Rattus norvegicus: one gene and its partner. The protein of the gene in region 1 interacts with the protein of each later gene in a pairwise test. Links are inferred from orthologs where the notes say so. Each region holds a gene or a part of one and is shown on either strand. Other genes may lie near its edges. The genes, in order: Rbsn and Ehd1.

What was found.
Region 2: the proteins of Rbsn (region 1) and Ehd1 interact in binary tests that used the Homo sapiens proteins (3 or more experiments, as listed by UniProt). The link is inferred for Rattus norvegicus from reciprocal best matches to the Homo sapiens genes RBSN and EHD1.

Annotation. Positions count from the first base shown.
Region 1 is NC_086022.1:126,252,469-126,256,276, forward strand, and holds part of Rbsn (rabenosyn-5), read right to left. Parts: intron 3,391-3,808; coding exon 3,345-3,390; intron 3,246-3,344; coding exon 3,084-3,245; intron 634-3,083; coding exon 392-633; intron 1-391. UniProt on the Homo sapiens protein: Rab4/Rab5 effector protein acting in early endocytic membrane fusion and membrane trafficking of recycling endosomes. Required for endosome fusion either homotypically or with clathrin coated vesicles.
Region 2 is NC_086019.1:213,007,829-213,012,131, forward strand, and holds the start of Ehd1 (EH domain-containing protein 1), read left to right. Parts: upstream 1-1,284; 5' UTR 1,285-1,357; coding exon 1,358-1,761; intron 1,762-4,303. UniProt on the Homo sapiens protein: ATP- and membrane-binding protein that controls membrane reorganization/tubulation upon ATP hydrolysis. In vitro causes vesiculation of endocytic membranes. Acts in early endocytic membrane fusion and membrane trafficking of recycling endosomes.

The DNA of each region.
Region 1 (3,808 bases):
CGGCTGATAGGCAAAAAGCATACAAGCCCTGAAAATACATATAAGCTCAAGCTGATAAAGACTGGAACTCCCAAGTGAGTTTCCCAGGACCCTGGCAGCCCATGATTTGCTACACCTTCAGCTTCTGTCTTCTCCACAGAACCTGGCCATGCACAGGACAACTGCTCTTCCTACTTGTCTTGGGCCTCCTTCAAGTGGGTAAGGGAAGGTAGGGAAATAAGTTTGTTACTACACACCCAGGATGACTCTATGATTCACCTAGGGCCCTAATTGGGAAATCATACCATGGCCCTTGGGCAGGAAATGAGTCAAGGAACACCGTCCCAGAGGATTCTCTAGAATCTACAGGCAGGCATACAGCAAATAGCCAAATCTGTCTGGCATGTGTCACCTCGTAGAGCTTCACGATGTCAGGCGTGTGCTCCTTCTCATCCATCTGCTGCTCTCTCTTGAGCAGCGTGTCCTTGCAGTGCGTGCAGCAGCGGATGCGCTCATCATCCTTCTCGTCCAGGACTGAGCTGACACTGCTCATGCTACTGATGCTGCCTCGGCGGGAGCCATGGACACTGTTAGGTGACTGGCTGGGGCTGGTGTGGGTGCTCAGGGAGTCCTTGCTGGCACTGGTGAGCTTATCTACAAACCACAACAGACAGGTAGCAGTGACCCCTCAGCAGCCACTTATCCCACACCTGCGACTGTAGCACTCAGGCCACAAATGTGACTTGGGAAATAGGGAGAGCAGGCTTCACCTCTGGACAAAAAGAACCTACTCTGGCATCAGGGGTGAGACTCTGGTGGAAAAGAATGCATTGCCAAGCGATCACATCCAAACAGCTTGTGGTAACCTGTCTTTGGGCTCAGAAGCCTGATCTTAACCTGGTCATCTCAGACTTATACCACATTCCATTTGCCCCATTTCTCCAAATGATTCACATTGTCCAGACACTTTCCTTTGCAGCCCTCTTACCAGTCCCTAACACTCAGCTCTCACTCTCCATTCTCTAGGATCCCTTCCCTGGCTCCCACAAGCCAAGATCTGCCCTTTACATCGCCTCCCATTAACCATTTGGGGCAATTCCTTTTTCTCCTGTCCAACACCTGTATGTACAGAGCTGCCCTGGAATCTGCAACTGTTGGGTAGGAACTGTGTCTTACACTCATGGCCTTAACATAGCCATCAATGCCACCTAACAGACTGCCCGGGTAATAAGCCCAAGAGCAGAAAGTGAACGGTGTTCTGAAAGGAAGTAGGTAGGTCTCAGGGAGAAAGGAAACTATCAAGGTAAAGGAGGCAGACACAGGAACTAGGCAGAGAAAAAGTGAGTTTTGGCCCATGTTGTCTACAGGCCTTACAGCCAAGTGTGTACAAATAATAGAACTCTTTGGTGTTCTAATCTGTACTAAGAATGGAACCCAGACTCCTGACCATGCTAGGCAGGTGCTCTTTTACTGGGCTGCACCATAGCCTTCCATCAGCTGTGTGCAAGCAGCTGATTCACAAAGTACTGCAGTGTCTCACCCCCTGCACTTTACAGCCTTGTTCTTCCAGGTCTCACCCACGTCCTGCACACTTCCCATTGCAAGTCTCTCTCCTTACCTACTCAGTTCCGCTACACTGAGTGCCAGGATTCCTTGATGCTCTTTACCCTACATAGGGTACCACCCTTCCCCACCTCCTGTACAACCATTCTCTTTCAGACATCACTTGCACCCTACACATCCATGCTTGCTTTCACTGGAGCCTCCGTGGTATTTAGCACTTTCTATATGACACTAGTCTTTCTGAATGACTCTGCGATTTATAAGGACAGGGACAGGCACTCTGCTTATTTTCCAAAACTTCTTCTAAAAACCTCCCCTGCACTTCTAGGCAAAGGTGTCAAAGAGCTGCACTACCTCTCCTTTATGAAGCAATTGTGTGAGTCTCTATCTCCCCTGCTAGATCCTGAGTTCCTTGAGGAAACGCAATGCCTTGTAGATTAGTAAAGTTCAAATAACACTTGTAAGCCAATCTAGCTTCCACCTGTTTTTGCATAGCTCTTAAACTAAGTATTCACTTTATGCTTAACTTTCCTTTTGAGTCAGGATCATCTCACTCTGTAGCCCAGGCTCAAACTTAATGATAGTTTTTCAGCCTCAGCTTCACACGTACTGAGATTACAGGCAGGAGCCACTAACCCTGGCTTGTTTTATATTTGCTTGTTTGGTTTTACTTTGAGACCAACCAAGCTTCACTATGTAGCCCCGGTTACTGTTAGCCATGCTGGGACTTTCTGATTCTGCCTCCCAAGTGTGCACCCATCCAGATGGTTTTTTTAAAGAAGTTACTCCTTTTCTTTTTCTTTTTCTTTTTTTTTTAATTTTTAAATTAAGAAGAATGGGAAGAGACCGTGTGTGCCTTACAAAGTCTAAAATAGTTACTACCTGATCCTTCATTTAAAAAAAATCTCAGGGCCAAATGGTGGTGGTGTACACCTTTAATCCCAGCACTTGGGAAGCAGAGACAGGTGAATCTCTGAGCTTGAGGCCAGTCTAGTCTACAGATCGAGTCCAGGTCAAGGCGACACAGAGAAATCTTGTCTCAAAAAACAAAAACAAAAACAAAAACAAACAAACAAAAATCTCAGTGCTGGGGCTGGGGATTTAGCTCAGTGGTAGAGCGCTTACCTAGGAAGCGCAAGGCCCTGGGTTCGGTCCCCAGCTCCGAAAAAAGAACCAAAAAAAAAAAAAAAAAAAAATCTCAGTGCTAGATACATAGATCATCAATTAAGAGTGCTCTTGCAGAGGACCCAGGTTCAGTTCCCAGAACCCACAGAGTAGCTGACAACCATCTGTAGCTCCAGTTCCAGGAGACCCAACAGCCTTTTCTGAAAAAAAGAAAAGTGCTCCCCAGCCTGTTTCAGGCTACTATATATAGCCGTGGGCTTCGGCACAGTGTTTAGGTCTTAGTGAGCCTAATGAACTCACTAAGTAGATGAGAGAGATTCTGTGGTCCACTCACTTTACAAGTGGTCCCAAGGGTCTAAGCACACCCACTAGTCCCAGAAGAGATCAGGGCCCAAAGCCACAGCCACATCACCTACTTGCCAAGGGCAGGCCAATGAGCTCCATACACTTCTTGCACATGATAGACCCACAGAGGCGGCAGTGGTGACGGCGGTTCCGGATGCTGAACTTATTCCCACAGTCTGGACAGAATGGAACATCCTGGTCATTGACCCAAGGCACCACAGACTTTTCTATTGCTTTGGAAGAACAAACCAAAAAAAGCAGCTCAGCATTCTGAAGTTGTTTTCAGGGAGAAAGCCAAAAAGAAATGATCGTGAGCAGAGGTCTAAACTTACCTCTAATCTTTGAGGTCTCAGTATTTGTTCTGTCAAATGCGGTAAGCTAAACAAGAAAACACAACGCCAAATGGAGTTAATAAGTTAAAGGACACTCTCTACATTTTTTTGCCACTCACATTCAGCAGGAAATGTATGCTCAAACTTCTTAAGGCTCACTAGCCAGCCCCAATCCTGTTATCCAAATCATTTCACTTGGGACATGTTAGTTTCCTATCCAGAAGGAATCTCGGTACCTACAGCTCACTTCCAACCTCTTGTCAGTTACCAGTTTCTCCAATAAACATGGTCATGGTGGGGTATGGGAGCTACTGAAAGCAATGGGTGAACTCCTGACTTTCCAGTCTTCCTGGAAAATTAGACTGGCCACATATTTCTGTCCACAAAGTCTACATAAAGAGCATTCCTGGTCTGGGACTTAGTTGGTGGCAGAGTGCTTGCTGGGGCACCACAAAAGTGAAAAA
Region 2 (4,303 bases), on another chromosome or scaffold:
CAGCCCCGATAAATATTTTTTAAGATAGAGTCTGTTGCCCAGGCTGGCCTCATATTGATGGGTTCAGGTAGTCTTCCAACTTTTCCAAACATCTGCGACCATAACTGTGTGTTAACCAACTCCTCAGGTGCCTTTTAGACTTCTCCAAGCACCCTTAGATCCTCCTCCCACTTGGGTGACCTGATACTAGTTACCTAACAATCATAGTCCCCAAATCTCTGACATCACCCACAAAAATTGTCACCAGCAGACCAGCCAAGGGGACTTAGGTGTGGCCAGGGATGATGGCGGGTCCGTAAGCCCCGTGGAACAGCTACTAACTGGAAGGAGGTTGGGAATCAGAACTGAACAAGAGGTGGTACTGGTGGTGTCCCTGAAAGGAAAGCGGAAATTTTGGGGCTTTTAATTTCCCCAAAGTTCCCACAACATTTCATTGTTGCTCAACACTTCCCCTCTTCCTTACAAAGGGAATTTCCGATTTCACTTCCTCCAAACTCATCTAACCAGAAAGCTGCAACTTCTTTACCCCATTCCGCAGCTGACACCTCTTGGGTGAGACCTCCCCGCTAGATCACGTCAATTGTGTTGTCCATTGCTTTGTCCCTCTCCCATCAGCCTGAGTGGAGATCCAGCGCACTTCTCCTCCCTTATCAATATTCCTCTTCCCGGTGTCCTGTACTCCCTCGGCTTTCCCTATTCCCGCTGTCCTGTTCTTCTCCAGAGTCGCTAAAACACTAGAGTGAGGAGTGTGGGTTCAAGAAGCAGGGAAGGGGCAGCGCACAGGCTGTCGATGCTTCTGGGAGTTCCTAGCCGGTGGAAACCCTGCAGTTGGGGGAAGCAGTTGAAGTACTTGGGGTATCCAGAAGCCCACGGGTGCTCCAAGGTGCTCAGGCTTAGCACATCTGGACGCTAGTCTCTGGCACCTGCAACTGCAACCCTTCTACGAGGTATCCCTCGAGGGGCGGAGCAAAACAGGTGCGGTTGCCAAGGCACCACAGCCACGAACTCGCGATATTTAAAATCAGCCAATGGGAAGCAGGAGAAGACGTGGCACGCGAATGGGGCGGAGCCTGGAGGGCTCTTCCCTCGCCTCTCCCGCCTGCCCCGAGGCGGCGGCCTGCGTGCCAGAACTCCGGGCTCCGGCTTATAAAGGGGCCGCTCGGCCAGGCTCGCGCGACCCTCAGTAGAGGGCGCTCTTGTGGTCTGTACGCCGGTCCTTGCGCCTGCGCGGTGCGGGCCGCGCCCCGCCCCCTGCCCCTCTGCCCTCCGCCGGCCGGCCGGCCCCTCCTCGGCCGCGCGCTCCAGTCCCGCTCAGCCGCCGCTCGGTCCTGTAGCAGCCAGCTCTGTCTCCGGCAGCATGTTCAGCTGGGTGAGCAAGGATGCCCGCCGCAAGAAGGAGCCGGAGCTCTTCCAGACGGTGGCCGAGGGGCTGCGGCAGCTGTACGCGCAGAAGCTGCTGCCGCTGGAGGAGCACTATCGCTTCCACGAGTTCCATTCGCCGGCTCTGGAGGACGCTGACTTCGACAACAAACCCATGGTGCTCCTGGTCGGCCAGTACAGCACCGGCAAGACCACCTTCATCCGCCACTTGATCGAGCAGGACTTCCCAGGGATGCGCATCGGGCCGGAGCCCACCACCGACTCCTTCATCGCAGTCATGCATGGCCCCACCGAGGGCGTGGTGCCCGGCAACGCGCTCGTCGTGGACCCGCGGCGCCCCTTCCGCAAGCTTAACGCCTTCGGCAACGCCTTCCTCAACAGGTACCCACCCCTTCTCCCCCCAGCGCGAGGACCACCAAAGGCCTCCAGAGCCATTGCCCCCAGCCGGCCTTTGTCTCTGAGGGGCCCCGCAGGACCCTCAGCGATCACTCCCAGGGTCACTGGCCTTGCTGCGTCCCACTAACTACCTGAGAGTAGTTAGGGAATAGGCATTGTCCACTCCTCTGGCTTGTGTCATTCCCAGAACCTTCCAGGTTTTCAATTTAACTCTCAAACCCTCCCGCAGATCCCAGACCTACTTCCCACAGAGCTGGGGGCCACTGTGATAAGATAAGCCATTGCTCTCCTCTCTGCCTCGTTCCTCATTTTGGAGGCACCCAACTCATTCTCATCAACCTCCCTCTTCCACCCGGGTCTGTTTTTTAAGTGTCATGGGAAATCCCGAGACTTAGATGTTCCTTTTGCTGGTCACTCGCTGCTTCACATCTCCTGGGACCAGTGGTTTTGTGTAGGAGGGGCAGTGAGGATATGCTTTGGTCTGCTGATTTGGGGGCAGCCCTCTTTGAAGGGAGGGGATGAAGGAGTCTCAACACACCTCCTAAAAGCAGCACTTAAGTGGATTCCAAGCCAGCCAGGAGTGTATGAGACAACCCTGTCACAAAACAAAACAAAACAAAACAAAACAAAACAAAACAAAAAACTTAAGTCAGTATTGCCTCAAGAGACTTCAGGGGCTGGTAACACTGTGACCCCTGAAATGACCAGACCCATATGCAACTATAGATTTGATAGACTTTGATGTACTCCTGGAGTCTCAGCTTTACCGGTTAAAGGGGTGAGGTGAATTAGAGTCAGCCTCTCAGGATGCTATGAATGAATCACAGTGGCCTTTCCGTGGAGCTTTAACGCCCAGGATCACTTCTTTAAGGGCATTGGGTCATCCCAGACTCCTCCTCTCCTAGGTATGACAGGACTCACAGACCCTGCCCTCTCTGCTCCCTCTTTCAAGGAGGGACTTCCACATGCCTTTCGACATCTGCATTCAGCCTAGGGGAATAACCTTGGAAAGAATCTGAATCCTGCTTTCCAGGTCTCCGCCCTGTATGAGCACATTCCTCTGCAGACACTGTCCAGCCGTACAGGGCGGGCCAGCTTGTTCTAGAGCGAGCCTGCTCTCAGGCCTGCCTCCTTTGGTGGAGTTGATCTTTAATGTCTTCTTGTCCCTTCTAGGTAATTTCAGCCTGTCTTGTTTTAAGATGCTGCTGCTTGCGTGACAGGCCTGGGTTGAATACAATGCTCTAGTCCCCTTAGCCTGGAGCCTTTGCCTAAGGGTGTTTGAGTTTTGCTGCCCCTGTAGGTAGGCCCTTGACTCAGAGTGCTGATGGTCTTGTGAGAAGTTTGGCTGCTGGGCTAAGGAATTCATTCATGCTTTAGGTCTCTGCTTCAGGAGTGACAGGAAGATTTGCTGTTCCAACTCCTGTTATAGCCTCATCATGAGGGCAGACCTCTTTGGAAGCAAGGAACTTGGCATCTCCTCAGTTTTCACCTGTGGAAATGCAGAGCTTAAGGAGCTAGAGCTCTCACACACCACCCCAATAGCCCCCAGTGCAGTAACTCACAAAAGGCAGGCCCTGCTGAACTGTCAAGGTGGAGGCCACGCTCTGTACCCGGTTCCTTCTTGCCCCCATCCCAGTTCCAGAGGGTCTCTAAATGCTGGTGAAGACCAGGGTTGGAACTGTCTCAGGATATGCCTCTGGCCAGGGAGGCACAACAAAGGGGGCTTTTCTCTGACTGATACAGCTTTTCCTGGCACTCTTAAAGGGATCCATTGAGTCATGAACTTGATTTATTAGCCCCCCCCCCCCACTGCCCCCAAGGCTGCTCAGAGATAGTGAGAGGAACAGACGGAGGCAGGCAATCCCAAGAGGGGTTTGTGAGTGCCCTGCCTGCATAACTGGACCCACCCACTGGTCCTGAGGACTGAGGTCCCCATCCTTGTTGCCAGGGAGTTGTTATAACCTCCTGCCTTTCTTGCTGTCCACTTACTGGACCTTGCAGAGTAGTGGGTTCTCATGGACTTTCAGATGCTCCTTTATGGGACCGGTTATGTCTGTTACTTCTCAGAACCAGCTCCACTTCCACTCTGTTTTTCTGTCGCTCTCTCTCCATTGAGTAGAGAATTTCTTCCTAGGCAAGGGGAATTGAGATCCAGCATGCAATGATTTACAACACTGGAGTCTGCTATACTTGGACATAGCCTTTTACTTTGTCATGCTGTCTCCAGCCTGGGGGGAGACTTATCATCATAATTTGGGGGTGTGGAGCCACAGGAGACATTCATCTTGCTCCCCACTGTTAGAATCCCAGCTTTGAGCCTATGTCTTGCAGACCATAGGTCTGTATTTTCTTTGCTCAGGGAGGTTTTTAAAAGAGTCCTTTCTCTGTCCACTAAAGAACCCCACCCTTTGCAACAGCTGATAGCTGCTCTGAGCTGTTCTGCTAAACTCTTAGCTCAACATGGAACTCAGGTATGCAGCTAAGCCCTTACCAAGGACTCTCCAACAGCCCTCTATTGTGGTTTCCT